Regions from separate parts of the Mus musculus genome. Here all the other regions are reported to be linked to region 1. The links are microRNA targets in miRTarBase. Many come from high-throughput screens and were not tested one by one. Region 1 holds a microRNA gene; each other region holds the end of a gene's coding sequence.
The links. Region 1 holds the annotated microRNA mmu-miR-466c-3p (AUACAUACACGCACACAUAAGA, at 2,139-2,160, shown strand). A microRNA usually pairs through its seed, bases 2 to 8, with sites in the 3' UTR of a target mRNA and lowers its output. Matches are read on the target gene's strand: a 7mer-m8 pairs with bases 2 to 8, a 7mer-A1 pairs with bases 2 to 7 and ends in A, and an 8mer does both.

Region 2: miRTarBase lists Pacc1 as a target of mmu-miR-466c-3p. The part of its 3' UTR that is shown has no 7-base or 8-base seed match.
Region 3: miRTarBase lists Tcf21 as a target of mmu-miR-466c-3p. Seed matches in the 3' UTR shown: 7mer-A1 at 3,491-3,497.
Region 4: miRTarBase lists Cpd as a target of mmu-miR-466c-3p. Seed matches in the 3' UTR shown: 7mer-m8 at 2,444-2,450 and 7mer-A1 at 3,793-3,799.
Region 5: the mRNA of Akap7 is a reported target of mmu-miR-466c-3p. Seed matches in the 3' UTR shown: 7mer-m8 at 2,066-2,072, 7mer-m8 at 2,062-2,068, 7mer-m8 at 2,058-2,064, 7mer-m8 at 2,054-2,060, 7mer-m8 at 2,050-2,056, 7mer-m8 at 2,046-2,052 and 2 more.
Region 6: miRTarBase lists Prl5a1 as a target of mmu-miR-466c-3p. Seed matches in the 3' UTR shown: 7mer-m8 at 3,487-3,493.
Region 7: miRTarBase lists Piwil2 as a target of mmu-miR-466c-3p. Seed matches in the 3' UTR shown: 7mer-m8 at 1,616-1,622.

The regions. Positions count from the first base shown.
Region 1 is chr2:10,481,882-10,485,949 of GRCm38, forward strand. Mir466c-2 (microRNA 466c-2) reads left to right here and starts at 2,085; the gene lies at 2,085-2,174. The region is part of intron 10 of Sfmbt2 (Scm-like with four mbt domains 2); the gene reads left to right. Mir467a-3 (microRNA 467a-3) reads left to right here and starts at 1,797; the gene lies at 1,797-1,879. Mir669a-6 (microRNA 669a-6) reads left to right here and starts at 2,315; the gene lies at 2,315-2,401.
Region 2 is chr1:191,349,377-191,353,444 of GRCm38, forward strand. Pacc1 (proton activated chloride channel 1) reads left to right here. Exons shown (of 8, transcript NM_025864.4): 8 at 313-1,908. The coding sequence ends at 474. It overlaps Ppp2r5a (protein phosphatase 2, regulatory subunit B', alpha), which reads right to left. Exons shown (of 13, transcript NM_144880.4): 13 at 2,605-3,733. The coding sequence ends at 3,601. Among named protein-coding and RNA genes, the nearest start is that of Pacc1, 26 kb to the left of the region's middle.
Region 3 is chr10:22,813,981-22,818,048 of GRCm38, forward strand. It overlaps Tcf21 (transcription factor 21), which reads right to left. Exons shown (of 2, transcript NM_011545.2): 2 at 3,283-3,846. The coding sequence ends at 3,757. Gm10824 (a long non-coding RNA gene) reads left to right here. Exons shown (of 5, transcript XR_380181.3): 2 at 68-136; 3 at 982-1,142; 4 at 1,752-2,394. Among named protein-coding and RNA genes, the nearest start is that of Gm10824, 2.6 kb to the left of the region's middle.
Region 4 is chr11:76,778,539-76,782,606 of GRCm38, reverse strand. It overlaps Cpd (carboxypeptidase D), which reads left to right. Exons shown (of 21, transcript NM_007754.2): 21 at 197-4,068. The coding sequence ends at 423. Among named protein-coding and RNA genes, the nearest start is that of Gosr1, 17 kb to the right of the region's middle.
Region 5 is chr10:25,167,769-25,171,836 of GRCm38, forward strand. Akap7 (A kinase (PRKA) anchor protein 7) reads right to left here. Exons shown (of 8, transcript NM_001379238.1): 8 at 1,322-3,480. The coding sequence ends at 3,284. Among named protein-coding and RNA genes, the nearest start is that of Gm36313, 16 kb to the left of the region's middle.
Region 6 is chr13:28,150,995-28,155,062 of GRCm38, reverse strand. Prl5a1 (prolactin family 5, subfamily a, member 1) reads right to left here. Exons shown (of 5, transcript NM_023746.4): 5 at 3,468-3,946. The coding sequence ends at 3,761. Among named protein-coding and RNA genes, the nearest start is that of Prl5a1, 11 kb to the right of the region's middle.
Region 7 is chr14:70,370,585-70,374,652 of GRCm38, reverse strand. It overlaps Piwil2 (piwi-like RNA-mediated gene silencing 2), which reads left to right. Exons shown (of 23, transcript NM_021308.2): 23 at 217-2,176. The coding sequence ends at 373. Among named protein-coding and RNA genes, the nearest start is that of Slc39a14, 21 kb to the right of the region's middle.

The sequences.
Region 1 (4,068 bases):
CTTAGAATGATAAGTGATGTAGAGTTTTAGAGATTATGCAATAGGGGACATTGAATGACCTCACCCACCAGGTGTAAAAGATTGACAAAGTCAGGAGGATAAGGATTGCAAATTCATGCTTAATTCAGTTAGAGGTCATCCTGGTATTCATATGAGGCCACCCATGTATGTGCATGTGTGTTTACTTGTATATGCATTGCCTCTGTTGACATGATATTCAAAATATAAACACACGTGTATATGCAAGTACAGACACAGAGAAAAAAATTGCATTCATTTATACGTTTGAATGATATGTGACTTAAAGTTTTAGATTATGCAGTTTGGGACAGTGAATGGTTTTACTCACCAGGTGTGACAGATTGTGGATCAGGAGTTCAAATTCATGCTTTACTTCATGATGACTTTAAGATATGCCTGGGATTCATGTGATGCCCCCTATGTATCTCTATCTGTATCTGTTTCTATTGTGTGTGGATTTGAGTATATGGATGTACCTATCTACACAAATATATACATGTACACAGACACAAACAGAAACACACACACAAACATCAGTGCAACTCATCGATCCATTTGAATGACGTGTGACTTAGAGTTTTAAGATTCCTCAGTACTGAATGGGGAGAGGTCTCACTCAGCAGGTGAAGTCCCTTCACAGAGTCAGGTTGATCAGGAGTTCAAATTTGTGCTGAATTTCATGATGAGTTCATGACCAGCATGGGATTCATCTTATGCCCACCAAAAATTTGCATGTGTGTATAGTTGTGTGCATATTCACTTCTCTATATGAATATGCATATACACACATGCACACACATTCATAGGAATGGCCAGAGCTATGTCTCAGTTAGGAGGTGAGTACTCTTGCCAGTGTCAGGAGGATGAGGAATTCAAATTTATGTTTAACTTCATGATGAGTTAGAGTTCAGTATGCGATTCATGTGATGCCCACCAGAATGTGCATGTGTGTATAGTTGTGTACATATTCACTTCTGTATATGAATATGCATATACTCACATGCAAACATACTCCCTCGAATGGCCTGAGCTATGACACAGTTAGGAGGTGAATACTCTTGCCAGCATCATGAGGATGAGTAGTTCAAATTCATGTTTAACTTTATGATGAGTTAGAGATCAGCCCGGAATTCATGTGATTTTCCCTGTGTTTGTGTTTATGTGTATAGGGAAGTATGCCTGTACATGCGCGTATATGAACATGCATATATATATATATATATATATATGTATACACACCCACACAACTAGGGACACATACATGTGCACACAAACACACATGGCAGTCATCCATTTGATTTATACGTGCTTATAATTTCATTGAGTGTATATTCATGGTATAGGGAATAATCTCACTTATCAGATGAAAACCACTTGCCAGAGTTAGGAGTCTCAGGAGTTCAAATTCATGCTTAACTTCATAATGAGTTAGAGATCACCCTGTATTTGTGTGATGGATCCTAGGTATGCACAAGTGCATATAATTGTGTGTGCACGTACATGTGTGTATATGATCATACATATAAATACACACACATACAAATGTATTCACACACACAGGCGTGCACACTCACACACATAAGAATGACACTCATTGATCCATTTGAATGATATATGTCTTAGAATTTTGCTGATTATAAAGTAGAGGGACAGTGAAGGTCTCACTCACCAGGTGTAAATAATTGGCAGTGTCAGGAGGATCAGGAGTTCAATTTCATGCTTAACTTCATGAGCAGTTAGAGATCATCCTGGAATAATGTGATGGCCCCTATGTATGTGCCCGTGTGCGTAAGTGCCTGCATGTATATGCGTGTATATTTTATGCATATACATACACACACCTACACACACATGCACACAGACATGCGGAAATGGCCTTCACGGATCCATTTGAATGATATGTGACCTACTGCTTTGGAGGTTATGTATGACTGGGCCAGGGTGAGGTCTCACAAACCACGGGAAAACCCTTGGTAGAGTCGGGAAGATCAGGAGTGCAAGTTCATAGTAAAGGCATGATGAGTTAGAGGTCATCCTGGCATTCATGTGATTGCCCCTACGTATGTGTATATGTGTTGATGTGTGTGTGCATGTACATATGTGAATATGATATACATATACATACACGCACACATAAGACACATATGAGCACACAGACACAGGGGAATGGCACTCGTCAATCCATTTGAATGATAAGTGACTTAGAGTGAAAATGCTTGCTAGAGTTAAGAGTATCAGGAGTTCAAATTTACACTTATCCTCATGAGAGATCAGCCTGTGATTCCTCCATGTATGTGCATGTGTGTATAGTTGTGTGTGCATGTTCATGTCTATATTTGAATATACATAACATACACACACACGTATAAACGCAAGCACACATACACAGACACAGGAATGGCATTCGCCAATCCCTTTGAATGATAAGTGATGTAGAGTTTTAGAGATTATGCAATAGGGGACATTGAATGGACTCACTCACCAGGTGTAAAAGATTGACAAAGTCAGGAGGATAAGGATTGCAAATTCAAGCTTAACTTCATTTGGAGATCATCTTGGTATTAATGTCATGCAACCCATGTATGTGCATGTGTGCTTACTTGTATGTGCATTGTATGTGTTGACATGATATACATAACATAAACACACGTGTTTATGCAAGCACACACACACAGGAAAAAATTGCATTCATTTATACGTTTGAATGACATGTGACTCAAAGTTTTCAAGATTATGAAGTAGTGGGACAGTGAAAGGTTTTACTCATCAGGTGTGAAAGATTGTGGATCAGGAGTTCTAATTCATGCTTTACTTCATGATGACTTAGAGATATGCCTGGGATTCATGTGATGTCCCCTATGTATCCCTATCTGTATCTGTTTCTATTGTGTGTGGATTTGAGTATATGGATGTACCTATCTACACAAATATGTACATGTACACAGACACAAACAGAAACACACACAAAAACATCAGTGCAACTCATCGATCCATTTGAATGACATGTGACTTAGAGTTTTAAGATTTTTCAGTACTGAATGGGGAGAGGTCTCACTCAGTAGGTGAAATCCCTTGACAGAGTCAGGTGGATCAGGAGTTCAAGTTCGTGCTGAATTTCATGATGAGTTCATGATCAGCATGGGATTCATATTATGCCCACCAAAATGTACATGTGTGTATAGTTGTGTGCATATTCACTTCTCTATATGAATATGCATATACACACATGCACACACATTCATAGGAATGGCCAGAGCTATGTCTCAGTTAGGAGGTGAGCACTCTTGCCAGTGTCAGGAGGATGAGGAGTTCAAATTCATGTTTAACTTCATGATGAGTTAGAGTTCAGCATGCGATTCATGTGATGCCCACCAAGAATGTGCATGTGTGTATAGTTGTGTACATATTCACTTCTGTATATGAATATGCATATACTCACATGCAAACATACTCCCACGAATGGCCCGTGCTATGACTCAGTTAGGAGGTGAATACTCTTGCCAGCATCATGAGGATGAGCAGTTCAAATTCATGTTTAACTTTATGATGAGTTAGAGATCAGCCCGGAATTCATGTGATTTTCCCTGTGTTTGTGTTTATGTGTATAGGGAAGTATGCCTGTACATGCGCGTATATGAACATGCATATATATATATATATATATATATATATATATATATATATATATATATACACCCACACAACTAGGGACACATTCATGTGCACACAAACACACATGGCAGTCATCCATTTGATTTATACGTGCTTAGAGTTTCATTGAGTGTATATTCATGGTATAGGGAATAATGTCACTTATCAGATGAAAACCACTTGCCAGAGTTAAAAGTCTCAGGAGTTCAAATTCATGCTAACTTCATAATGAGTTAGAGATCACCCTGTATTTGTGTGATGGATCCTAGGTATGCACAAGTGCATATAATTGTGTGTGCACGTACATGTGTGTATATGATCATACATATAAATACACACACATACAAATGTATTCACACACACAGGCATGCACACTCACACACATAAGAATGACAC
Region 2 (4,068 bases), not on the chromosome of region 1:
AGAGTCCCCAGGATGAGTGTGAGGGGACAGCTGAAGGCTGAGGTAGCTGAGATCAGACAGAGGGACCAACCTTGAGGCTGAGGTATAGTTTAGGGAAATTTCTTTGGGTCACTTGTTAGATTAAGCACAGTATGAATGTCTTATTTACACAAAGATTTTTGAGGCGGAATCCTTTTACGTGGAGGGGCTCACAGTTCCCTTCTGAGCAGTGGTAGGGCAGAAGCAGCATGCGTCTCTGTTGGCTCCAAAGTCTGAGACAGACAGAGTCAAGGCTGCCGCCAACCAGCAATCCCGGTCTTGTCTGCCCCACAGATAATCACAGCCAATCCTTGGAACACCATCGCCCTGCTCTGCGGGGCTTTCCTGGCGTTGTTTAAAGCAGCAGAGTTTGCCAAACTAAGCGTGAAATGGATGATCAAAATCAGGAAACGATACCTTAAACGGAGAGGCCAGGCGACAAACCACATAAGCTGAAGCGCCCGTGCCACGGCACTCCGACAGAGCGAGACACCAGCAATCCTGAACTCACTTGAAGGGACCCTGCAGGGAAGGACAGTCCCGTCCATCGCACTGGAGGCTCAAACCCGGCCCGGGAGGGAAACGCCCAGTGAATAACCTGAAACTTATTTAAGTACTTAAATTATTAACGGACATCTTGCAGAGCTGCCTAGTGCCTTGGAGAGGTTCCTCCTATTTGGTCACTAAATAGTTAAGGCTTCTTCTTTCCCTTAGGGCTTTTTTTCTTTAAAGCGGACTGATGTGCCCTGTACGCAGAATTCCTTTTAGACCATCTACTGTTACTTAACAAGAACTTGTTAGAGCCTAGATTTGACTTTTTTGTTTTTCCTTAAATGTAGCCCCGCTGTAATCACTGTGTAGACCAGGCCTTCCTCGTGCCTTCCCATTGCTGAGACTAAGAGCCTACATCACTCCCCGCAAGCTTTACACGAGACCTTAAAGGCTACTAGAAACTTGTGATTGTATTTCTGATGTGCTAGAAGTGCTAGCAGAGGTATATACAGTAGGCACCTACTTAGTGTATCTTGATTTCATTAACAGGTAAATAAGGTTGGGCAAGCACAAAAGGGATGGGAGTGAATACCCAGTAAGCCAGCGGGCAGCAACGCTGGACGCTGATGCTGTATGGCCAGCAAACCCAGAAGGTAGTGTAAGTCTGGACCGCAGCATAATGGCTCTGACTCAGCACACATCACTGCCAACAGGGAGGTAAGCTGTGCACTGTCCACAGGTGGCCAAGAGGGATGGCCACACCACATGAGCTAGTCCCTGCGTCCTACAGAAACACACACCTAAAAGGGTGGCCTTTAGGGCTTTGATAAACAGCACCTCTACATAAAACCAAAAACTCTATAATAGAGTTCCACATGTGGCCAGAGGTAACATTGAAGAACTTGTAATTATGCCTTAGGGAATCGGAAGGGAAATACTCACAGGTATAAGGAGGACATTTTTGTCTCTAAATTAGCAGCAAGAAACTGTTTTGCCCAAATCCCTAGAAATAAACTTGTACTGTGAAATATTCCTGCTACCTTTGTCTCACATATATACAAGAATTTAGATTTTTAGCCTAAAACTTTTATTATAAAACACCATTTTAGCACAAATGCCAAGCATAAAGCATCAGTGACATTAAAAATATGTGAAGGACAGAAAGTCGAGGGGCAGGGGTGCAGTCCAGTCACAGGATGTGTGCTTACCACGCAGGGCCCTTAAAGTTCACAGTTGCATAGCACTTCAGTAGTTAAATATCTGCCTCAGTGAACACTAAAGCTTTATTTTCCTGTATTGTGAAAGCTGAGCTGCTTTTAATTTTGCTTTAGATAACTAGGAAGTAATTTTTGCCTATTCATAGAATAAAAACCCGACTTCCACTTTCTGGAAAGGCAACCCTGTGTTTTGTTTTGTTTTTTTTTAAGATTTATTTATTTATTATATGTAAGTACACTGTAGCTGTCTTCAGACACTCCAGAAGAGGGCATCAGATCTTGTTACAGATGGTTGTGAGCCACCATGTGGTTGCTGGGATTTGAACTCCTGACCTTCGGAAGAGCAGTCGGGTACTCTTACCCACTGAGCCATCTCACCAGCCCGCAACCCTGTGTTTTGTGTGGGTCGCCCAGGGCTATTCTGCAGAGGCCTAAAGGGAGCAGCCTCATTGGACTGCAACAATGGCCCTCCCTGGGATGCCCACTGCTTGAAAAGAGAGCAAAAATTACAGGCCACTGTATTACAAGGGAGTTTGTCCAGAGGTCATGGAGGCTGCTGTCACAGCAACAAAAAACCCCTGTGACCCTTCTAAACTGGTGTTTAGTTGAAACCATGTTACAGTCTCCCTGCCTTTCCCAGAACTGCTACTGCCATGGATTCTGAGATTTCCCGTTTTAGTTAAAACTAGCTTTAATGTTAAACTGTCCTAGAACACGGAGGGACAAGAAGCTTGGGATTTTATGAAAAGATCGGTTAGATGGCTAGACTCCTAATCCCTGGACCACAAGCAACCTAATTCTAATTAGAGTACATCCGTAAGTTATAATTCTCTAATATAAATATCTTCCAGAGACAAAAGAGCAAATGACATAAGGCAAAATACAAACATAGACTTTATTAAATGCTGCTCAATCCTCAGTAAAGATCTCTCATTATAAAACAGTTTTCCATACAACTGCAAGGCAAGAGGCTGGAATGGTACTGGTAACAACAGTGTGAAAAATACCTGACCAGGTAAAAACAGACAAAGCTTCTACATAGTCAGCTCTGAGGACACCTGCTGCAGTTCCTTTAAATAAAGCCAGGCAGTGACAGCTAGCAGTCTGCATCACACTGTGGGAGGGACCCAGAGCTCCACCCTGCAGGCAGGCAGGCCTGGGGACTGGCAGGGTGAGGACTGGGAAGGCCCTGCCTCCAGCCTTGGAGGAGAGGAATGAAGGAGGTGAGCCTCGGGTCCACCCGTGGCCTGTGCTGCTCCGCACACGCTCCGGGGAGCCGCTGCTGAAGGGGGGATTTGGGAACATCAGAATTTTGGTTTACTTCCCCCCCCCAACTTTAATACTTTGTGCTTCAGAAGCCTGGAAATGTCAGATGTTGTAAAACCCAGAGTATGGCAGTGTCTTTAATGAGGCTGGGCTCTTGTCCCCTGCCCACACCTCTCTAGGAGAGGTGAGGGAAGGGCAACCCCTCCGCTTATCTTACGAGGCTCTTTCCTCAGATGTACTCAAGGTGTGCAGCACCAAGGTGTGCAGCACGGTGAAAACACATGATAAAGGAAGTGTGCAGAGGACGGCTTCATCTGTGTGTGCAGCACAACCGGGCTCAAGTCGCAACACACGCTTGCCACTCCCACGATCACCTCACTCAACAGAGACAGTGACACAATCCATGATTAGACAGAGTTTACAATATACTGTGGCCGTGATACAGCACAGGGCTATGTTTTAGTCCATAATTCTTTCGCTTTTACGCTTGCCAGGAAAAACTGGCCTCCTAATTATATTATACTGATGAGGTCTGCTCTGAAGTTTTTATATATTCAAAAAAAAAAAAAAGTGTACAAAACGACCGCCCAGCAGGGGGAGCTGATCTTTATTTGGCACTGGTACTGCTGCGAATACTGTGCATGTTGTAAGCATTGTTCTGTTTCTCTAGAGCCTTCTTCAGCTGCAGCTCCTCTAGTTTTTTCCACAACTCTTCCCGTTCCAGTTCTTTCTTCTTCTCTCTGTAGAGAGATCAGCAGTTTTAATGGGAAGCTCAGGAAAGACACTGGTTGGTGGCTTTGTGGGGAGCGAGCATTACAATGCCCGTGGCTTCTGTGACACGCGTGGTATTACATGGCACTAATTCACCGTAGTCACTCGAGGCCTCTAGGTCAGCTACAGTTAACACTCAGGCCTCCTAGGGAGAGGTAGAAGCCCCACCCTTCCATACCAGCAGAAAGGCAATCTACCCACCCGTCAGTTTATGTTCAAACTGAGTGAGCTTTAAAACTAGATAAGTAAAGAAAGTACAGGCTGTAAAGGAGGGCTTTTATTTCTAGGTCTTGGTTCCCACACA
Region 3 (4,068 bases), not on the chromosome of region 1:
CCTTGGTCTCTAATCTACACAGCCTTTTGATTCATTGATTGATTAATAACTGGAATTTATCTTCTAGGGAACAAGATGAGAGCGCACCTGGTCGGGCCATATCCTTAGTACAGAACCGAACTCATGTTTTCTAAGGGTGAGCAACTCAAGGCTGACAGTTGTGTGCATTTACCCTAGAGTGAGCAGCAAACTAGAGCATTGAACTGGAAGCATACTCTCTCTCTCTCTCTCTCTCTCTCTCTCTCTCTCTCTCTCTCTCTCTCTCTCTCACACACACACACACACACACACACACGCACGCGCACGCGCACGCGCACGCGCACGCGCACACACACACACACACACACACACACACACACACACACACACACAGGCACACTCTCTTTTCCTCTGCCTTAACCTTTAACTCTTTTTGTTTCCTTAATTATGCATTTCAAATCATGGTTCTCAAACTGTCCCCAGACCAGCAGCAGAAACATCACATAGAAACCTGTGACCCCAGACCTCCAGATTCAGTCTCTCCGGAGGAGGATAGGGACTCACAAAAACAGCGTTGGTTTAACAGTCGCCCTGGGTGGTGTTCTCTTAAGGACTGGAGATTATATATATAACCAGTAAATACCCGAGCTCTGTTTATTATTACTTTTTGGAGTAAGTCTTTGATTTGAGAGTGGGCACACCTGCTAAAAGCACACTGAATTGCTTGTAAAAATTTTAAGTCCTACAAGCAATGGGGGGGGGGCGGGGGGAGAAGGGAGATAGAGAAGGAGGGAGGGAGGGAGGGGGAGAGGTGTCATTTGCTGCCACATTATGAGTCTGTGTCTGAGAACTCAGACTTTTGGAAACACCTCATTTTTCTCCTAGGTGGCTATAGTAATTTGGTCATTTGCCTGGTCCTTTTTGAAAGTGCTTTCTCTAGGATACTTTTTATAGCTTAAAGGTCACATGACACTCCTCATTCTCTCCCCTCTCCCCTCCCAGCTCTACTGGCTTGGGACAAAGATAGTCTCTACTCCTTTGCAACCGCATCTTAAATTTTGGCACTGGAACCTAGGCTGGGTACCAGGCAGCCAGGGAGTTGCAAACTTTGGGGAAGAAGTGAGAACAAGAGGAGCAGGGAAGAAGGGGAACATGGGAACACGGTGAGTGTGGGCAGGGTCTGGTGGAGGGGGTTAGTGGCCAGTGATGCTCTGTGGGAGAGGAAGGACAAGGGATGGAGAGAGGGAGTAAGGGATGAGGGATGTTGGGAGAGAAGGAGAGAGAGAGAGAGAGAGAGAGAGAGAGAGAGAGAGAGAGAGAGAGAGAGATGAGGAGGGAGGGAAGGAGAGAGAGAGCGCGCGCTTATTTCTGAAGAAAGTTTCATTTTGTAGGAGTAATTTCACTAAACAGCTTTATGCAAGTTCAGAGAACGGTTTTCTGAAAAAAGTTTCATTTTGTAGGAGTAATTTCAGTAAACAGCTTTATGCAAATTCAGAGAACACCAGAGGGAGGTGGAAATCTATCTGCTTAGAAGAAACACATTTTAGACCATACAAAGGACCATCACCACCGCTGCTAAAAACACACCCTCTGTTTGGGTGTAGTCACCTGCCAACTCATTCAAGTACTGGATATTTATTTGCTGGATCTGGTCTTTCACAAAGAGGTCACACATATTATAATTTCATTGAGCGGGATTAAAGCTTGGACAGCAACTGGGGGAAACACAAACCCAACTCTTACTAATGTTATCATTATTTTTTTCTTGTAAGGATGAGAAAGCTGGATCTGGCCCTCTGAGAAAACAGCCCCGTGTGGAGCCAGGACTTTGGTTTCTCATGACCTTTCTCCTCAAGCCGAGGCTTCAGATTATAACTAGGATGAACAAAGACTTTAAAATCGTGTATGTCTCCTGTTTATGGAGAAAAAGCTTCTATGGGGCCACCCGCGCAGAGTGCGCAAAACGTCAAGAATTTACTTGGCTGGTAAAAACGTGACTAGAAACTTGGGAATTTTCCTGGGCTAACCGCAGCCTGACTTCTGGTGGTAACACTAACCTTCCTTCCTCTGCCAGAATCCCTGGGTCCGTCTGGCGAGGGCCCCATCTCTTAGGTGGAAGGGAAGGCAGGTGAGCGTATGAGCAGGTGTCACCACCTAGAGTTTGAACTGAACTCTTGAAAGTCAAGTTGGGATAGGTCTGAGGCGTCGCCAGACGCCTTGAAATATCATCCAGTGAAAGTGTGCAAACGACACAGATGAAGAGTCACTGGACAGCGGAGTTTGCACCTGGGGCTCGGTGGCTTCTCAGCTGTGACAAACCCCTGGAATAGGTGTTTCCCGGAAGATCTCACGAAGGCTCCGCCCCGCGTGGTCCTTACGTGGGCTGGAGTCCTGAGTAGAACTTATCCTAACCAGGTACCAAAAGCAGCTAAGAAGTAATGGGGGGGGGGGAGGGGGTAAGGGGTGTCTAAAAGCGAAGCGGAAGTTTCAAGGCCTCTAAGAGGGATAACAGTATAAATAACCGAGGGCGTCTTGTAAACACTGCGGTCATAACCCCGAACATTAAACAGCCGCGGTGGCATCTGGCACATCGCCGCGGCGGGCTGCGCTGGGGCAGAGGCAGCAGGGTCCCAGGCTCCTCTGCCTAGCCTCTCTGTTTATCTCAACTTAATCTTCCCCTATGTGCTGTTCCGCAGTCTGGAAGATGTTTAAGTTACTACCCAGCCCGCGGGAAATCTTGGCGGGAGCTTAACGAAAGGGGTAACCGCACCGAAAAGCAGGCAAGAACGGTTACTGTTGCAATTAATTAATTAATTGCCAGTCAGTAACAAGCAAAATATCTTGCTGCATTTGAAATTCACATGAGAGCTTCAATCTCTTCTTCACTGGATTGCAAGCAGCGTTTGGGTCTGTTTTTAAAATCACAGAAAACACACGGAAAGTTATAAAACTCTCATAGTTTACTATCAGGATCCTCAGAACAAGCACACTGTAAAACAGTGGAGAGTCAAATTTTCTTTTTCTTCGTTGTCCTCGGGTCTGTGTGACTGGATAACTGTAATCCTGTTCATTCTCTATTTACAGTTATAATATCTTTAGTGGGCTTAAAATAACTGGGATGAACAAAACAAGTTTTCAGTAGGAAACATGACTTGTCTTTTCCTAGTTGGAATCAGAGTTAATCTTTTTTCTAGGATCTTGGGCTAAATGTTAAAAAAAACTACCTTTTAATCATGAAATGTCCCCATGGATTCCAATGTTCTTCACAAAATTTTAAAAAAGAAATCACACCAATGTCCAGGCTTTTTTTTTTTTTTTTCAATATAAAGAAAGATTTATTTTCGGAAGTAGCAAAACCTGTTTGAAAAAAATATATTTCTTCGAGTGACTTATTTTATAAATGTGACTGTCAAAGTCAGCTATTCTATGATCTACATTTTACAACATATTGTACAAAAGATACACATTGATAGGCTCTTCTTATCTATTTATATATAATATATATATATAATTACATATTGCACTTGGACCAGCCAGGCTTGCAGTCATTCATGGCAGAAGTTAATCAAGTTAAATAGATGAGAATCGGTAAGTACAGTTGGTCTCCTTTGGTTTGGAAACGAATCTCCTCGTCGCAGTTAAGTGTTCTTGCGGGGTGGGATAGGGAGAGGAGCGATGCAAGGCACCAGCAGAGGCAGGGAGGGAAGGGCAGGGGTCGTCACCCTTGCCGGCCCACTGCCCCCAGAGCTCACGGTTCCCAGACTCGCACCTCCAAGGTCAGGATGCTGTAGTTCCACACAAGCGGTTGGCGGTCACCACTTCCTTCAGGTCATTCTCTGGTTTGCCGGCCACCATAAAGGGCCACGTCTGCAAGAGAGAAAAGGGTGGAGAGGGTGAGTAGACATGGGGAGGCGGCGCAGTGCGCAGGCAGGCTAGGACCAGAGAGGCCACGGGTCTGTCGCTTCCTAGGTGTATTAATGCCAGGCAGGGTAATGCAAACAACCCCAGGAGGTGGTGGTGGTGGTGGTGGTGTGGAGGTGGAGGTGGAGGTGGGGGTGGGTGGTGGAGGTGGGAGGTGGAACAAGGGCA
Region 4 (4,068 bases), not on the chromosome of region 1:
TGGAATAACAGAGTGGGTTTGTTGAGATGCTAGAGATTGGGCCCCGGACTTCTTGTCTGCCAGGTCTACCACAGAGGATCATCAACAGACAATCAAATTGCTCTTAATTGCATGCAATTAAAGTAAATGTCATATTATTAATAGTGTCATCAGAGGTAGTTGCTTGTTAACACTCCCGCATGGTTTTGTCGGACAGGTGCCACTATGTCAGCACTGATCCTAACGGCTTGCATCATTTGGTGCATCTGCTCCATCAAGTCTAATAGACACAAAGATGGCTTCCACCGGCTGCGGCAGCATCATGATGAATATGAAGATGAAATTCGCATGATGTCAACTGGCTCTAAGAAGTCCCTCCTAAGCCATGAGTTCCAGGATGAAACGGACACAGAGGAGGAAACATTATATTCTAGCAAACATTGAAAAGCACGGTTTGCATATCTCCCTGTATACGTACCAGGCAAAATGACAGCTCTTCTTGGGAGACACTGCAGTAAGAAGAGAAATTCCTTCCGCCTTCAAAGAGCTTTGGGAAGTTAGCCTGCTAAATTCATACTCTCTGAATGTCACAGGCAGTTTTGAACTTCCCTTCCTTAAAGTACTCTTAACCTTTTCTTTAAAAAAAAAAATCTGATTTCTATTTATGCAGCAGAAGATGGGGCAGCCGCTTTGTTTCCCTTTTTAATTTAAGACGAGCTGTTCAGAGACTCTATAGAGACAGCATAAAGCCAGCTAGTAGATGTTGTATCTTGCACATCAGACATTTACTAGTGGCTTTAGTTTTGTTCTCTTTAATTTAAAGGCCAAAAGAATCCAGAAACATTAAGGCAGGGACACCAGTCAGACTCTGACACAAAGCTTTAAAAACTCGAGATTTTTCTCCATCTACTGAGGAGTTCTCTTCTCCAGTTAGCACATAGCTGGGGTTTCTCTTATTCAGGTCTAATGGAGGCTGGATGATGCTTAGACAGATCTGACATTAGGAAATGGAATAAACGGGCTTCCGTATTTGTCTTTCTACCTGTTTCCAAGCTGGGTCAGAACTGGTGGGCTGTGCTCTCAGCAGGATTTTACTACCTCTCTTGTAAGGTTTAGCAAAGTTCTAGATATCTTTATCCTAGAGGAGAACTCACTGGCTTTGCTGTGGAGGCACCAGATGTCCCATGAGTAGAGGTGAAAGGGAGATGGAGCAGAAGCAAGGACGTTGTCTGTCTTATCCTGGTAAAACCCATAGGTGCTGCTGCTTTATCTGTGAAGCACTCATTCTCCTAGGAACGCCTGTTCCTTAGCATTTCCTACATTTCAGCCCTTCTGTGTGTACACCTGCGGTTTCCATATGACCCACACCTAAAGGTTCTGAATTCTACTGCTGAAACTATCTAAAAGTGGAAGAAACCTACTTGCACATTCTCAGTACACTTGGATCCAAAATGTCTACACTTGATGCTCCGGCCCAAGCCTCTGCCCTGTGATGGCATACTGTCATGGAGATAGTGTGGCCTCTGCACATGGGCCTCCAAAAGTAATTCAGTCCTTTGTCCTATGATTCCCTTGACAGTCTTTTTCTTTTTCTTTTTTTGATCAAGCAATTATGTTAAAATTTTCAGTTCTAAGCTTTGAAATATGGTTCTTTCCATGTAAAAAAGTCAACTGAAGGACTGCCATGTGATAGAACATTGGTATGAAGGTGTCCTCTTCAATGCCAGTCAGGCCTAAAAGATTGGTATTTTATTGTGTCTGTCTGAATGCTGTTCAGTGGAATGATGCTTTTTGTAAGTGTGAGTCTTACCAATGACGTAACAGTTTAATATCTTTGAATGTTTTTAATGGCCAAGTTGCTGCTGAACTTGTACTAAATCAGGGGATCACAAAACTAGCTCTTACCTTTCCAAACTGCATTCATGCCATTGATGTATCAGTTACCCTAAGGCTCGACTCACCCAGGTCACTCGGCCACACTTGGTGAGGAATGCACCCAAGTGGCTGTGTAAAGTTGAGATCTTAGTTGATGGAAGGGGCTAATGAGATCTTGGTATCTGTTAGTCACGGTCACTTAGGTGGCTTAGGTCCAGCTGTTCTGGAATCTGTCCTGGTATCAGCATATCTGAACCTTGCTTCTCTGCATGAACAGAACAATTAGTGGCAGTTAATGCTAATGAAGAGCACATGACTCCATCTCTTCCGGTAATGCTTTGTTTTCCTAAATGATGTGTATTGTTCTTTTTCAGCTTTATTTTTAAAAGTGCCAAGTCAGAAAACCAACAAGTGGCCTGTGGCTGGGCCCTGCTTGGGACAAATAGAAACCAAGTTCATGTGACAGCCTTCACGTTACTAGAGTTCACTAAAGGACACTTTCCACTTGTTCTCTGGCATTAAGTGTGTCTTTAACAGTTCATCTCAGCAGTCACAGGCCATGCCTTGGTCACAGGCCATGCCTTCTTAAGTATGTATGAAACCTTTTTAGAGATGAATATATAGAATAGTTCTCTTAGTCATCTTTTCCTGAAATGAAACCCAAATTCTGCTCTAAGTTTTGAGTCTTTAATGAACTTCTAATGTACTGAGGCGGAAAATCCGGCCTCCCCAGCCTGCCACCTATGAACATGAATGTACAAGACCCATGACTACAAGACTTTGTTCTTAGCCCAGCCTTCTTTGGGTTGTGAAACCGATCTAATCCTACACTACTTCGGCAGCCGAGGACACTGAAGCCATATGGGGTGGGCAGTGCATGCCTCCAGTGTTTCTCCTGGAGACCTTCCATTTCTTCAGAGTCCTGGACTCAAGTGTCACAGTATTAGAAGTTTGCCCCAGTCTGAGATGTGCCTTTCCTTTGCTCACAAGGTGTTGCTTTGTCCTCGTGATGAGTTTATAAGCCTTCTTCCCTCCCTGCTCCTTAACAAAAACAATGTGATGGATCGGTGATGTTCACAGTTCTCCCTGTGCGGATGCACTTGTGCTCATAGGGTTTGGTAAGATGATCTCAAGTAACTACACCAGCTTTGGTGTAGCAGTGAACTCCGGGTGGTGCTGGGATCTGATCCAACGAAAAACACTTGCCATTCTCACCGAAGAGAACTGGCTTTGGGACTCTGTTAACTTTGGGGAAGGAAACATTGTATGTTTGGCTCAGTGTGCTTGGCTGGTTAATCTTTGGTAATTTCACCTGAATGAGATTTGATGAATTAATGAATATTGAATTTAAAACTAATTATGAGTGAAAAATAAAAGGGTCGTGCTTATGTCTGAACTTGCTGCGTTTCTGAGCTAGCACCAGCTCACCAGGAACCACGGCTCAATACTCCATTCATTTCCACCTGTCCCCAGCATTAGAGGTTTCTCGTCTGCCAGACTCACACTCCTGCCAGGTTTGGTCCCTGCTCTCTCAGAAGCTTCTTGGCTATGAACATGTCATGGTGTCCTGCAGTGTGGGTCTCTGGTGGATTGTTTTATGGTAGCACCCAAGTATCTTCCCCCAATTTTTCCTTTATTGTTATTACTAAAATTCCACTAATGGTTAAATATTCAATGATCTTTCTGTCTAGCAACTTGTTGATAACTTTAGGTTTCTGATTTGTTTTAATTATAGCAGTTTTGGGGGGTGAATAGGGCCTTCGATTAATGTCAATTGAATTTGGGTTTCTAGTTTTTTGAAGAAAACCCTCCCAAATACACTTTTCCTTTATACTTGGAAAAACTTCATTAATAGTTCCACTTAACTCTCAAAGTATTATCCTGGTTGATTTTGAAATTTGAAAATAGGTTACCATTTTGAGGCAATTAGATAAAAATTATGTAAATACAGACAATTACAATGTTTATAAATAGTGTAACATGAATGTACTAGCTACATTCAATGCTGCAGATTTTTTGGAAGTGTGACATGGTATTTTTTTATGTTCCTTTTACCTCTTTTTTTTTCCAAATACTTCCCCAGATCCAAAATTCTCCACAACAATTTCTATGACATAACACCCATTTGTCTTAAGTGCTTCAGTCTTTTGTTTTATTTCATGCACTGTGCCTTCAAAATGAAAACTTAAAAGGGACTTTAAAAGAATTGAATAG
Region 5 (4,068 bases), not on the chromosome of region 1:
TGTGGGGGTGGGCCTGTCTGGGTGTGGCTGTGTGTGACTGTGTGTCTGTGCCTGTGTGACCGTGTATATGTGTGTGACTGTGGGGGGGGGGGCTGTCTGTGTCTGTGTGTGACTGTGTGTCTGTGTGACTGTGTGTCTCTGTGTGTGTGAGACTATGTGTGTGTGAGGTGTCTGTGTGTGACTGTGGGGGGCTGTCTGGGTGTGGCTGTGTGTGTGTATCTGTGTGACTGTGTATGTGTGTGTGACTGTTGGGGGGTGTCTGTGTGTGACTGTGTGTGTCTGTGTGTGTTTGTGGTGGGAGGGCTCAAGGACTTCCTCTTTATTACTCATCTTTAATTTTTGAAATATTGTATTTGTAAAAGGGAGGAAATGCCCCATTGTGGGAAATGTCACCTTTTAGGTAGAATAGATTTTAATTTAAATTCAGCGCTCTTTTGTTTTACATCCTTGACCATTTCAGCATAAATTTCCCCCAGTGTCCTAACTTAGAAAGTACTAATTACTTCCTACTAGAACCACTTAAGGAAGAGATTTAACCATGTGCCCAAATCACCTGGCACCATAGCCCAGGTCTTCATGGGTATTTAACAACAGAAACTGACAGGCAACTGAAGTTAACAGAGAGACATGGAATCGGAGCACTACATCTTTCAAGCTCTTTAGATTTGCGGATAAGTCCTTGAGAAGAAGATACAGACTGGTGCTAAGAAATGTCGATCTGAAATTGTTCTCGTGGATCAGGGGACAAAGTAACAATGGAGCGCTGGGGCCACTAGGCTGTGACTCAGGTCCAAATTCTTAACAGCAGTGTGCCTTTGACTAGGGCAGCCACCCGACCCCTGGAGTGGGTTTCCTCCTTTGAAAAACCAGGACAGACCTAAGCATCTTTGCTTCCTTTAAAGTTGCCCAAGAAAAGCTGTGATGACCTCCACTGCTCAGAGGGGGTTCGTAGACAGCCCCTGTCACAGAAGGCTCATGGACAGCCACTCGGGGGGGGGGGGGGTTCCTGGTTCACGGCCAGCTTCTCAGAGGGGGCTTACAGCCAGCAGCTAGCAGATGTGCACACGCAGATGAATTTGCTCTCTTTGTATTTGCTACTCTGGACACAGGGTTAGTTATTTTGTAGACGCCACTTGGGTTATCTTTGAGTTTTCTGTTCTGCGGTTACTTGCGTCTGATGTTGACTGCTTTGAAAGTGGTGAAGTGCTATGCTTCCTTTAGCACAAAGGCAGGCAGCACTAAAACCTCAGAGTCCCTGCTCATGGCTTTGGAACACCAACCAGAACCCAATGGTTTCCAGAGGAAAGAAAAGAAGAAAAGCAACAGGGGAAAGAGTACTTTTATTACAGGGCATGAAAACGTAGGGCCGTATAAAGGAATACATCATGAATTCATGTAGTATCAGCTACCCAGTGAAAAAATAACCAGAATACACGAGCAAACTGGACTGTGTGTGGGAGGATTACATATTTCATCTCTAACTACTTCCTTCCCCATCATCTACCAGTAGCAGCAATTTTAAAGTAACTACCCAAAGAGCTGTTACAAAGAAACATCACATGGGGGGAAACACCTCAAGAATGCTCGTTTATAAATGAACCAGTGCAAACTACTCAAATCGTAAAGAACACAGCCTTGGGCTTATCTTCATAGAGTAGGAAATAAGAGCCCTGAACATTCTTCACTAAGAAATTAAAAAAAAAAATGCAACTGTACTTTTATCAGTGAAAAATAATAATATAGATATTATAAAACATTCTTAACCCATGACTACAATGATTACACTTACTGATGTTCATTCAAGTACTGATAGCAATAAGCATTCAAACGCTCAGCAAAAGGACTGTGACACTGGACAAGCCCGGACAATGCTTCCTCTGAAGTGACAAGGGCCACATCAACAGGAGGCAGGTGACCCTTACATCAACAGGAGGCAGGTGACCCTTAGAATACTGTTGATGGTTTATTTTTGTTTTCTTGTTGTTTTTTGTCTGTAAAGGATTTTTCATAGTGTTTTTCATAGTGTGTGTGCATATATATATACATACATACATACATACATACATACATACATGTATATATATATGTATGCGCAATATTATCTGCAAGGACCCCATGGAACATCTTACAACAGCTAATTAAGAAGTTATTTCTATAAAATGAGTCAAAGATACCAAAACGAACATTCTAAAACTCAACTTTATGGTGATGACGATGATGGTGACGATGGTGATGATGGTGATAATGGTGATGATGACCATGATAAGGCAAAAATATGTTTTCTTTGGCAAGAAGTTGTTAATTCCTTACCAAGTGTTGGTTTGTGGGCTTTGTAGAAACTGTAAGAACACTCTGTTTACTCACCAAAGAGCTATTTAATGGGCTGAGAGTTCATAAACACTTTACCAGGCATAACAACAGTGGAGAGCTATGGCAAAATCAGGTTGAAATCAGCATTGCTTGTTGGACTACCATTATTAAAAACTCTTCCTTCAAAAAGCTCCTTTCTAATCTTGGCCTGAGTCTCAGGCTTTAACAAAAGTTCTTTTATCTGTTTCACTTTGGATTTCAGCTCCATCCTTTCTCGGTGCAAAGCTTCATTAATTAAGTCTTGGGTTCCAACTGGCTTCTTGCCTAAGGGGAAAAATTATATAATACATTTAAAGTACAAATATCAATGAAGTACATTAAATATGGCACATTGACTTATCAAAATAAGGCTTAAAAACCTTTAAAACATCACCCACATTTCATAGAAAAGATTGCATTTTACCAAAAATATATACTTTACACGAAACTTAATTTACTGTAAATAAAGATCACCGTGTGGTAACAACACATAGAGGACAAACAGGAAACATTGTGGACTCACTATACTAATGGTCATTTCAACAATGACAAACTGAACTTAGCACTTGATAGCTGTGTGCAAGTTTTGGCCTCCGATAAAGTAGTCAAAGGATCGAAGCAATGTAAACGGCAGTATTCTGTCTGTGGCAAGTCCTCTCCCTCCCTCCGCCTTGTGAGTCAGGCAGGCGGTCCGAAAAGCCCGCTCTCCCTTGTGCATGGTCGATGGCACACCGACTTAGTGTTGTTCTTCTGTAAATTAATTTCTTCTGCTGGTCCCAGCACCCCATTCTTTTCTGTTGTGTCGCAGCAACACCGAACGCATCAATCACATCAATCAGAGAAGTATTAGGTGATCTCCAGGGCTTGAACAAGACACATTGCGAGTTAGTCTACGACTTAGCAGAGGGGCATCGGACCGGACTGGATTCAGCTCTCACTTCCGGTTGTTATCACTGCCATCACCATTCCGATCTCCCTCCTCAGCTTTGGTGGAGTTCCCCTCCCCTGGCTGCTTTTTGTTCTGCGTCTCTTCTAGGTACTGCTGGACAGCCTTGAGCACGGCGTTCTCCACCAGCCTCTTACTGAGCCTGACCAGTTCAGCATCCTCAGGCTCCCTTCGGTCCTTCTCACCTACATTCCACAAGAGAAGAGAGGTCACTGAGCTCGTATTGCCATAGCAACTAGGCCACCAGGGTCCAGCTAGTTCAGCTAGTTAAAAGAGCAAGTGCCCTTCACTCTGGCAAATGGGATCTATAATTCCAACAAGACTGGGTTGCTTTTTCCTATGACATTTGTCCAAGCAGGAACCTGTCTATTCCTGCAGACTCTACGCTGAAAAGCAGCCCGACACACCCTTGCGGGCAGCGCCGCAGCCTTTCATTTCTACATAGCTCTGCGCTCCTCTCTCACCCAAGGCTTATGACAGCTGTGGAGCTGCCTGTACCCACACCTAGGGTCTCGAGCACATGAATTCACCAAGGAGCTCTGCATCTGCTGCTCCCTTTCCAGTGCTAGCTATCAGGAAATCAAGACTGCCCCCGTTATCTTACAGGTTAGGCTCACTCATGTTTAAACGCTTGGCATAGAGATCATTGTCGATAAACTCCCAGCGCTCACACACCAAGACAGGTGTAGTAATCACGACCAGTAGCAGCTGGTTTTAAAAAGGACTGCAGGGCTAACATCCTGATTTTAAAATCTCATTGCTATCACTGTAAT
Region 6 (4,068 bases), not on the chromosome of region 1:
GATCTTGGATGGTTTTATTCAATTCCATCACCTGATTGGTTATGTTTTTCTATAAGTCTTTAAGTCTATTGGTTTGTGTTTTCTCTTTAAGGCCTTCTACCTGTTTAGTTGTGTTCCCCTGTATTCCTTTGAGTTATTAATGCCCTTCTTAAAATCCTCTGCCAGCATCATGAGATATGATTTTAAATCTGAATCTTGCTTTTCAGGTATGTTGGGGTATCCAGGACTTGCTGTGTGGTGGGAGTACTACTTTTTTTTGATGCTGGGTAATCTTGGTTTCTGTTAGTAAGATTCTTATGTTTGCCTTTCCCCATCTGATAATCTCTGGTGTTATATGTTCTAGCTGTCTCTGGCTGGAGCTTGTTCCTCCTGTGATTCTGTTAGCCTCTGTCAGCACTCCTGGGAGTACAACTCTCTCCTGAGTCCCAGTGGCCAGAACACTTTCTGTGGTCAAACCCTCCTTTTGCAGGGAAGGTGCACAGAGGTCTGGTTTTCAGATCTGCCCCCTAGCTGAAGATGAAGGCCCGAAGGGACCCTGTCCAGAATCTCTGTTGCTTCTGCGGCCAGCATGCTCTTCTGCTTGGATTGGTCTCTGAGAAACCCGGTAAAGGAGATGGCGCTCTCACCTGAGTCCCCTAGTCAGAGACCTCCCTGGAGGCCAACTTTCCTCTGGTGCCCAGAGGTCTGGGTCTCAGCTCTGCCTCCTGGCTGAGGATGAAGGCATGAAGGGACCCTGTCTGTTGCTTCTGTGGCCTGTGCGCTCCCCTGCGTGGACTGGTCTCTTAAAGACTCAGTATACAAGATGGCTGTCTTACCTTAGTTCCGCAGTCAGAACCTTCTCTGGAGGCAGACTCTCTTCAGTGTTTCTAAGATCCTGGGCATGCTAGGGCACCTATGGCATGGAGAGTCCTCTGGGGACAGTGGGACCATCTATACAGTTTGTGGCCAAGGTGGCCCAGGGCTGGTCCCTACTGGAATGAACCCCAAGTGCTGGTTGGTTAGGTTTCCTGTATTTTTGTACCTGCTGGCACAAGTCCCTCCCGGTTGTTTTGGAACAGATGTTGCATTCCACTCACCAGTGATCCCAAGATCCTGGGTATACTAGGGTGCCTATGGTGTGGACAGTCCTCTTGATATGGTGGGACCATCTGCCGAGTTCGCGCCCAAGGTGGCTCAGTGATGTCGTTATTTTTAATAGCTGCATATTAGTCCATTGTGTAAGTGAGCCACATTTTCTGTATCCATTCTTCAGTTGAGGGACATGTGGGTAAATAAGTCAAGATTTTAGAATTTTCAATTATTTTTGTTTTCATGTTTTAAACTACCTATTAACAGCACATGTTACTTCTAGATTGCATCCAAACTATCTCCCTTGCTATATACCCTACATCGTTCTCTAGGGTATAGTATGGTATGTATTCTTGATGCTCCCATCTACTTGCCTTCCTCAAACTGCCATATATAGCCAGGGTCACGCATCTAGTGCCTGGGCCTATTCTGGCCTCTCTTGACTGGGCTCTAAATGATGCCTAGGCTTTTGCAGGACCTTATCTACCCATCACCTAGTCCATAGGCCCCTCTGAAACCACATGTGACCTTTTCACCTAGCCAGATCTACCCTCACACTCTAGGCTTGGACCAGGAGGCAAATCTTATATATCAACCCACTCTCCTCTGTCCACCTGACATCATTCTATTCAAGTTAGATCTAACTTCTAATTCCAAGTTGCCTGTACACGTTCTCTTCTGTGCCAGTCTAATAGGTCTATATCAGACCTAGAACTAACAAAAGAAGTTCAAATGCTAAGATCTCATCAATGAACTATCAATAATATCAGGTTTTGTTGCATTGAATTTTCATTTTCATTTAATTCCAGGATTTTTTTTTTAAATTTTCTCCTTGACCCACTCATCATTCATTAATGAGCTGCTTAATCTCCATGTTACATCGTTATCAAAAATTCTATAGTTTTTTTCTTTTTGTTGTGTCTTTATATGACTTTGGTAATAGGATAATACTGTTTTCATAGAGTGAGTTCTAGAGAGTTTATTTCCTTTCTGTTTTATGGAATACAGTGAGAACCATTTACTCTCTCTGTTCTTTTACTATCTGATAGAATACTGCAGAGAATCTATCTTTTCTGTGTGGATAAAATCTTTTTTTCCTATTGTTTCTTTGAGCAATTCTTAAGAATAGGTCAGCTGATGGCAAAAGTTGAATTCCACAGTGATATCTTAGCATACATGAGTTCTTTCAGTTAGGTTTAATACTGCCAAAGAAGCCTTATGTTTGTGAAATTGTTTATTTCATTTCAGAAAGATAGTCTATCTAGGCATATTTATAATAGACTTTTTCTTTTAGTGCATGCTACTTAATTGATTATAGATGTCATGGATTTAGAACAGATACACAGATATTTGTTTTTTTGTTTTGCTTTTTTTTTTGTCTTTGTGTGGGTAAGGCAACATCCCCTCATGTCTATTTTAAGTAATTGAATTTTTTCATGAAATTTGACTGTGTTTATCATATGTGCGGACACCACTGGATTTACCCTAACTAGAGTCGCAAAGAGTTTTGAATCTTTAAGGTTTTAACTTCTACTAAAGTTAAAAGATTTTCAGCTTTCCCGTCTTTGAGTGGTCAGGCAACACTATAAATATGTATATATATAATTTTTTCCCTTTTGAAGCACAGTAGTGTGAATGTCGAATATTTTCTTGTTTGACTATTCAGTCTGCTGCAATTTTTTTAGTATGTTATTGTAATTTTCAGATGGAATAATTTGTATTGATCTTTCAGATTCCAATGCTGTGCTCCATATCTTGCATTCTAGTTAAGCCCATTCAGTAGATCTTTTCTTTTTCTTTATTCTATTTATGGTATTTGAAGATAGACACTTTATAATATTTGCATTTTCGTTATTTTTCTGTGAAAATGGTTCATAGTCAATGGCTGGCTTTCATAAAAATACTTGAGATTTCAGTTTATTTTGTAGGATCAAAACCTTGATTATAATAACTTATATTAACTTATTATGATTCTAAGTGAAATTGAATCATCTTTTAAAAACTATTTTTGGTAACAAATTTGAACAGGTTTAATTTTTTATTGTTAAATGAACAAAAGAAATGATGAAAAATTAAGTTTGTTAGACACTGACATTTCTAAAGTGTCAGTGACGTAACCCAAACTCAGAAAGACAAACACTGTATCTTATCTCCCATCTATGGTACTTAGCTTCAAATTTCAGAAGTGAGTTTATTACCTGGAACAACTACATTAAACTGGAAAGATCAAAGAGGCTATGGTGGGATGGAGAGGAGTACTAGAGAGGGAATATCAGTATGTGGGTGAAATGAAGAAAGAAATGGGAAAAATGGTTCTCCAATATTATGTTGTCAACCCTAAAAAGAATACAATAAAGAAAGCAATATATAAAGCAACAATAAAGACGGGCTACATTTATATATTTATTCATTTATTTATACATACACATAGCAATAATACATTATGCATGTGGAATTATAATTAATAAAAATTCATTTTATAAAGAGTAAAATGAGTCAGGGGACAATGGGTAGCAAGCAGTGGGTAGAGGGAAGGAGAAGTGGTGTAATTATATTTAATTAAACATAAAAATTTGAAAAGAAGTGACCCTTTAGATTTAATCACACATAAATATTATAAAACTTAAAGAACTTTTTAAGGATTGGATCAGTATGGACTGCCCCAGAAATAGATAGGAAGGATGAGAGCTTTTCATTGATTAGGCACAATTTGGTCTCTCAGGATACTGATGAAATCAGAAACCTTCTGTGCATCATTGTTCAAGCAGAAAAACAAACTATGCAAACCAAAAAGTTGAACTCTCCTTTTTGATTGCTGTACATATGGCTCTCCTGACCAGGCAGGGTAGTCTTCATTTTTCTTAAGGTCAGGATTAACCTATTTACCAAATAAAAGTCAGCCAGTTATTATTCACATTATTAATATTTATTGAGCTTCATTATTTAAACAATTTGAATGATATTTTGAAGAATATTATGAATATAAATCTTAAAGAAATA
Region 7 (4,068 bases), not on the chromosome of region 1:
TTACTAGCCAGCATAAGCCAGATAGTTGAGAACCTGTACCCCAAACCAAACTAAAGAAAGAATTATAAAACTAACAATTCCTGAAAAACAACAGTAGGTTTCCCAGACTCCCCCAGTCTGTTGGTAGGAGTGCTGTGTTGTATCCCCAAGAGAGTGAAATCCTTCCCACCCCTAGGTGGAGGTAGAAGTGATAACACATTTTCTTCTTAACTTTAGGTTGACTTTCAAACTATGCCACATGTACTGGAATTGGCCTGGTACCATCCGAGTTCCAGCTCCTTGCAAGTATGCCCACAAGCTAGCTTTCCTGTCCGGACAGATTTTGCATCATGAGCCAGCCATCCAGCTGTGTGGGAACCTGTTCTTCCTGTAACTGGGAACTTGGACACCGGCTGCAAGGAGCAACTGGACTCAGCTCAGCTCCTCCTTACAGAATCAACAGAAATGGCAGTGGAATTTTATGTTTGCATTTTCTCTTTCTCCATCCTTGTAGAATTAGATTTCTGTTCTTCTTTTAACCCTGATATCATAGTAGGGTGTTGTGGTGCATGCCTTTTATCCCAGCACTTGGGAGACTGAAGCAGGAGTATCTTTAGTTCAAGGCCAGCCTAGACTACATGGTGAGTTCTAGGCTAGCCAAGATTACAGAGTGAGACCCTGTCTCAAAAAACAAAAACAAACCACTGTCCCCTCAAAGCCCACAACAAAACCAAAGCCTGGGGTCAAGGAAGCAAGTTTGTAGGTAGCCGCTGGCTGCCCGCTGCCTTCATGGAGTGTGTGCCGTCAGCGCTGCTTCTCCTCAGCCGAGCGTGGAGCTTCGGACAGGGCAGTGATGACATGTTCTTAGCATGTCAAATCCCCCTACCAAATAAGTCAAGCAAGGAAAAAATAGCCCCCAAGGCAGCCTGAGCATCAGTTCCTAGAGGTTATGCCTACAGAACCATCCTATTTCTGGTGGCAGAAGTGACATGAAGTCATTGCAGACATCTTAAAGGAGAGTTACTGTGCAGCTGTCTACATGTGTGAAAGACATGTAGAAAAACCAGCGTAGGGTACAGTCGGGCGTATGTGCCCACCTGACCCAGGGCTGTGAGTCTGACTTCCCGAGAGTCTGGCTAGAGCTGCTTTTCTGGTCCTTTTGGTTATTTGCAACCATCATCAGATTGCTTTCCTGCAGCCCGACTGATACACGCATGTGCGCACGCACACACTTTTGTTCTTTGTGACTAATCTTGAATAAATTCAATTAGAACACATGGAAAGGATTCAGCAGACCTAGGAACATTTGGGGTGGAGTGTAGTTTTTCTGCAAAAGTCTGTAAATGAGATTACGCAAGAGTCTCTTCCAGCTGTGGGCTGGTGTTGCTTGGAAAATTTCAAAATCCCAAAGTTTCAGGCTTCCCAAAGTTGGCTTGGAAAAATGTGATAGTCTCACCTGAGTCTAGACATGTAGGAAATTTTCCTAGGGCCTCTGGGCTTCAGTATTTGGGGGAAGCACTGGTTTTCTGTGTTATTTTTTTCCTTCTGTTTCAGAATCTTCAAGTTTCTTCAGGCTTCAGTGGGCCATCCCTTTACTGGGCTCTAAAAGCTAATTTTACTTAACCTTTTCAAATGTGTATGTATCTATTTATGTTTTGGTGTGGTGGATGGATGGTAGGGGACTGAGCAGAAATAGTCATTTTAAATAACAGTGTGCTAGGAGAGCCTCAGTGTGAAGTCCTGAGGAGCAGCGGGGGCTGTGGGAGTCAGTGTCAGCCCTCACTCAGACAGGCCAAGCCTGGGCTCGAAGACAACATTGTCCAGGGAAGCCTTTAGTTTGCTATAGCACCCAGAGGTTGGCGAGGAATAAGGGTTAGGGTCCTCAAATACACCCATGGCTTTTGGAGTCTATGACCAAGGCCAGGCTGAGACCTGAAATGTAAAAGCCATAGAATTAAACAGAACAGACTGAAAAACGAGTCTTAAGTTCCACTTTCTGGATTTCTCTGGAAGTCTTTTGAATTTGTCTGTAGAAGTTGCTGTTCCTAGCACTCCTTTTCTCTTTAGGTAGAACAGATACTTGACCATAATGCCAGAATGTACTTTCTCTGCCTTGGTTTTTCTATGCCTTGTTTTTCAGTTTCAGGGCCAAACAATTGGGCCCTGTGGTGTAAAATAAAAACAATGTATGTGTATAGTTGTGTCTGAGAGAATATTGTTTATTAAGTGGCTTTTCCTTCAAAGAGAAGCAAAAGTTAGAGTTATTCCTTTATTATTGTGCGTGTCAGGGGCAGCACCATTGGGAACAAAGTGATTTCACCCTGAGCAAACTGGGAGACCTACATAGCAATGCATTAAGTTTGTGAATGTGTTTGAATCATTTGGGGCTTTGGGTAAATAAGAACCCTCACCAGCTTACTAAGAGAATACTCTCCACTAGTATATTTTCATCAGGGTGCTAAAAAAATAAATATAATTACTTACTTATTTTATTGATTGATTGATTTTTCAAGGCAGGGTTTCTTTGTGTAGCCCTAGTTGTCCTGGAACTCACTATGTAGAATGTAGACCAGGCTGGCCTCAAACTCAGAGGTCCACCTACTTCTGCCTCCCAAGTGCTGGAATCAAAGCTGTATGCCAACACCACCTGGCTTGTTAGTTTTTCTTTCTATTTTTAAAATCAATTTATTTATTTTTATTTCATGTGCACTGGTGTTTTGCCTGCATGTATGCTTGAATGAAGGTGTCAGATTCTCTGAAACTGGAGTTACAGGCAGCTAGAAGCTGCCATGTGAGTACTAGAAATTGATCCTGGGTCCTCTGGAAGAGCAGCCAGTGTTCTTGACTGCTGAGACATCTCTCCCTTTGTCAGTCTTTCTTAACAGTTACTGTTAGCTCAAGAAAGAACCAGTAAGCTTTCGCCAGAAGTGACCTCTCTACCATTAAGAATTTTTTTTAAGTTACATTTATAATATGTAGGGAGGCAGGGAGATAGAGGTCAGGCCTCAAGGTCCAACACTTGGGAGGCAGAGTCAGGAGGATAAGAAGTTCTCGGTCACCTTTGACTATATATTGAGTTTGAGGCCAGGCTTCAGACATGAGACCCTATCTCAAAAAAAAAAAAAGCACACCAGTAAGATGGCTTGCTGGATGAAGGAACTATGCCCCTAGCCTGATGATATGAGTTCCAGGAACACACACACACACACAAACCCCCAAATAAATGTCCCTGTTAAGTACACTTTCTGGTGTGTCTGTAACCATTGGCCCAGTGACAGTAACCTGCCTCATTGTTTTTATCACTTCCAACCACATGCCTTTACAACCCTGCATTTCTTTACATTTGTTAAAGAAACTCTATGTTTTAGAGGTCTTGTTTTGTCCCCTTCCCCTTGGTTTTTTGAGACAAGGTTTTTGTGGTGGTTTGAATAGGAATGACCCCCGTAGACTCATGTGTCTGTATGCTTGGCCACAGGGAGTAGCACTATTAGGAGGTGTCCTTACTGAAGGAGGTGTGGCCTTGTGGGAAGAAGTGTGTCACTGTGGAGGTGGGCTTGGGTTCAGTTATGAGCACACACATGGTGACTCACTACAATCTGTAACTCTGGTTTCAAAAGATCTGCTGCCTGCTGATCAAGCTGTAGAACTCCCAGTTCTAACAGCACCATGTCTGCCTAGAGGCTGCCATGCTTCCCACCATGATGGCTAAAGCTCTGAAACTGTAAGCCAGCCCCAGTTAAATGTTTTCCTTTATAAGAGTGCCTTGGTCTTGGTGTCTCTTCATAACAATAAAATCCAAAGTAAAACAGTTTCTCTGTGTAGCTCTGGCTGTCCTGAAACTCACTCTGTAGAGTAGGCTGGCCTCAAAAGTCAGTCAGAGACCTGCCTGCCTCTGCTGCTTGAATGTTAGGATTAAAGGTCTAGGCCACCGCGCCCGCCCGGTTTTTCCTCCCTTCTTAAATGAGGAAGTTCTTGATCTCAATCCAGGAAGTACCTTACACTTGCTGTGTTGGCTTTACTCCAGCAGCATTTTGTTGAATGAAGTGAAAAAGAACAGTCTAGGGATGACTTGCTCTTTTATCAAAAAAC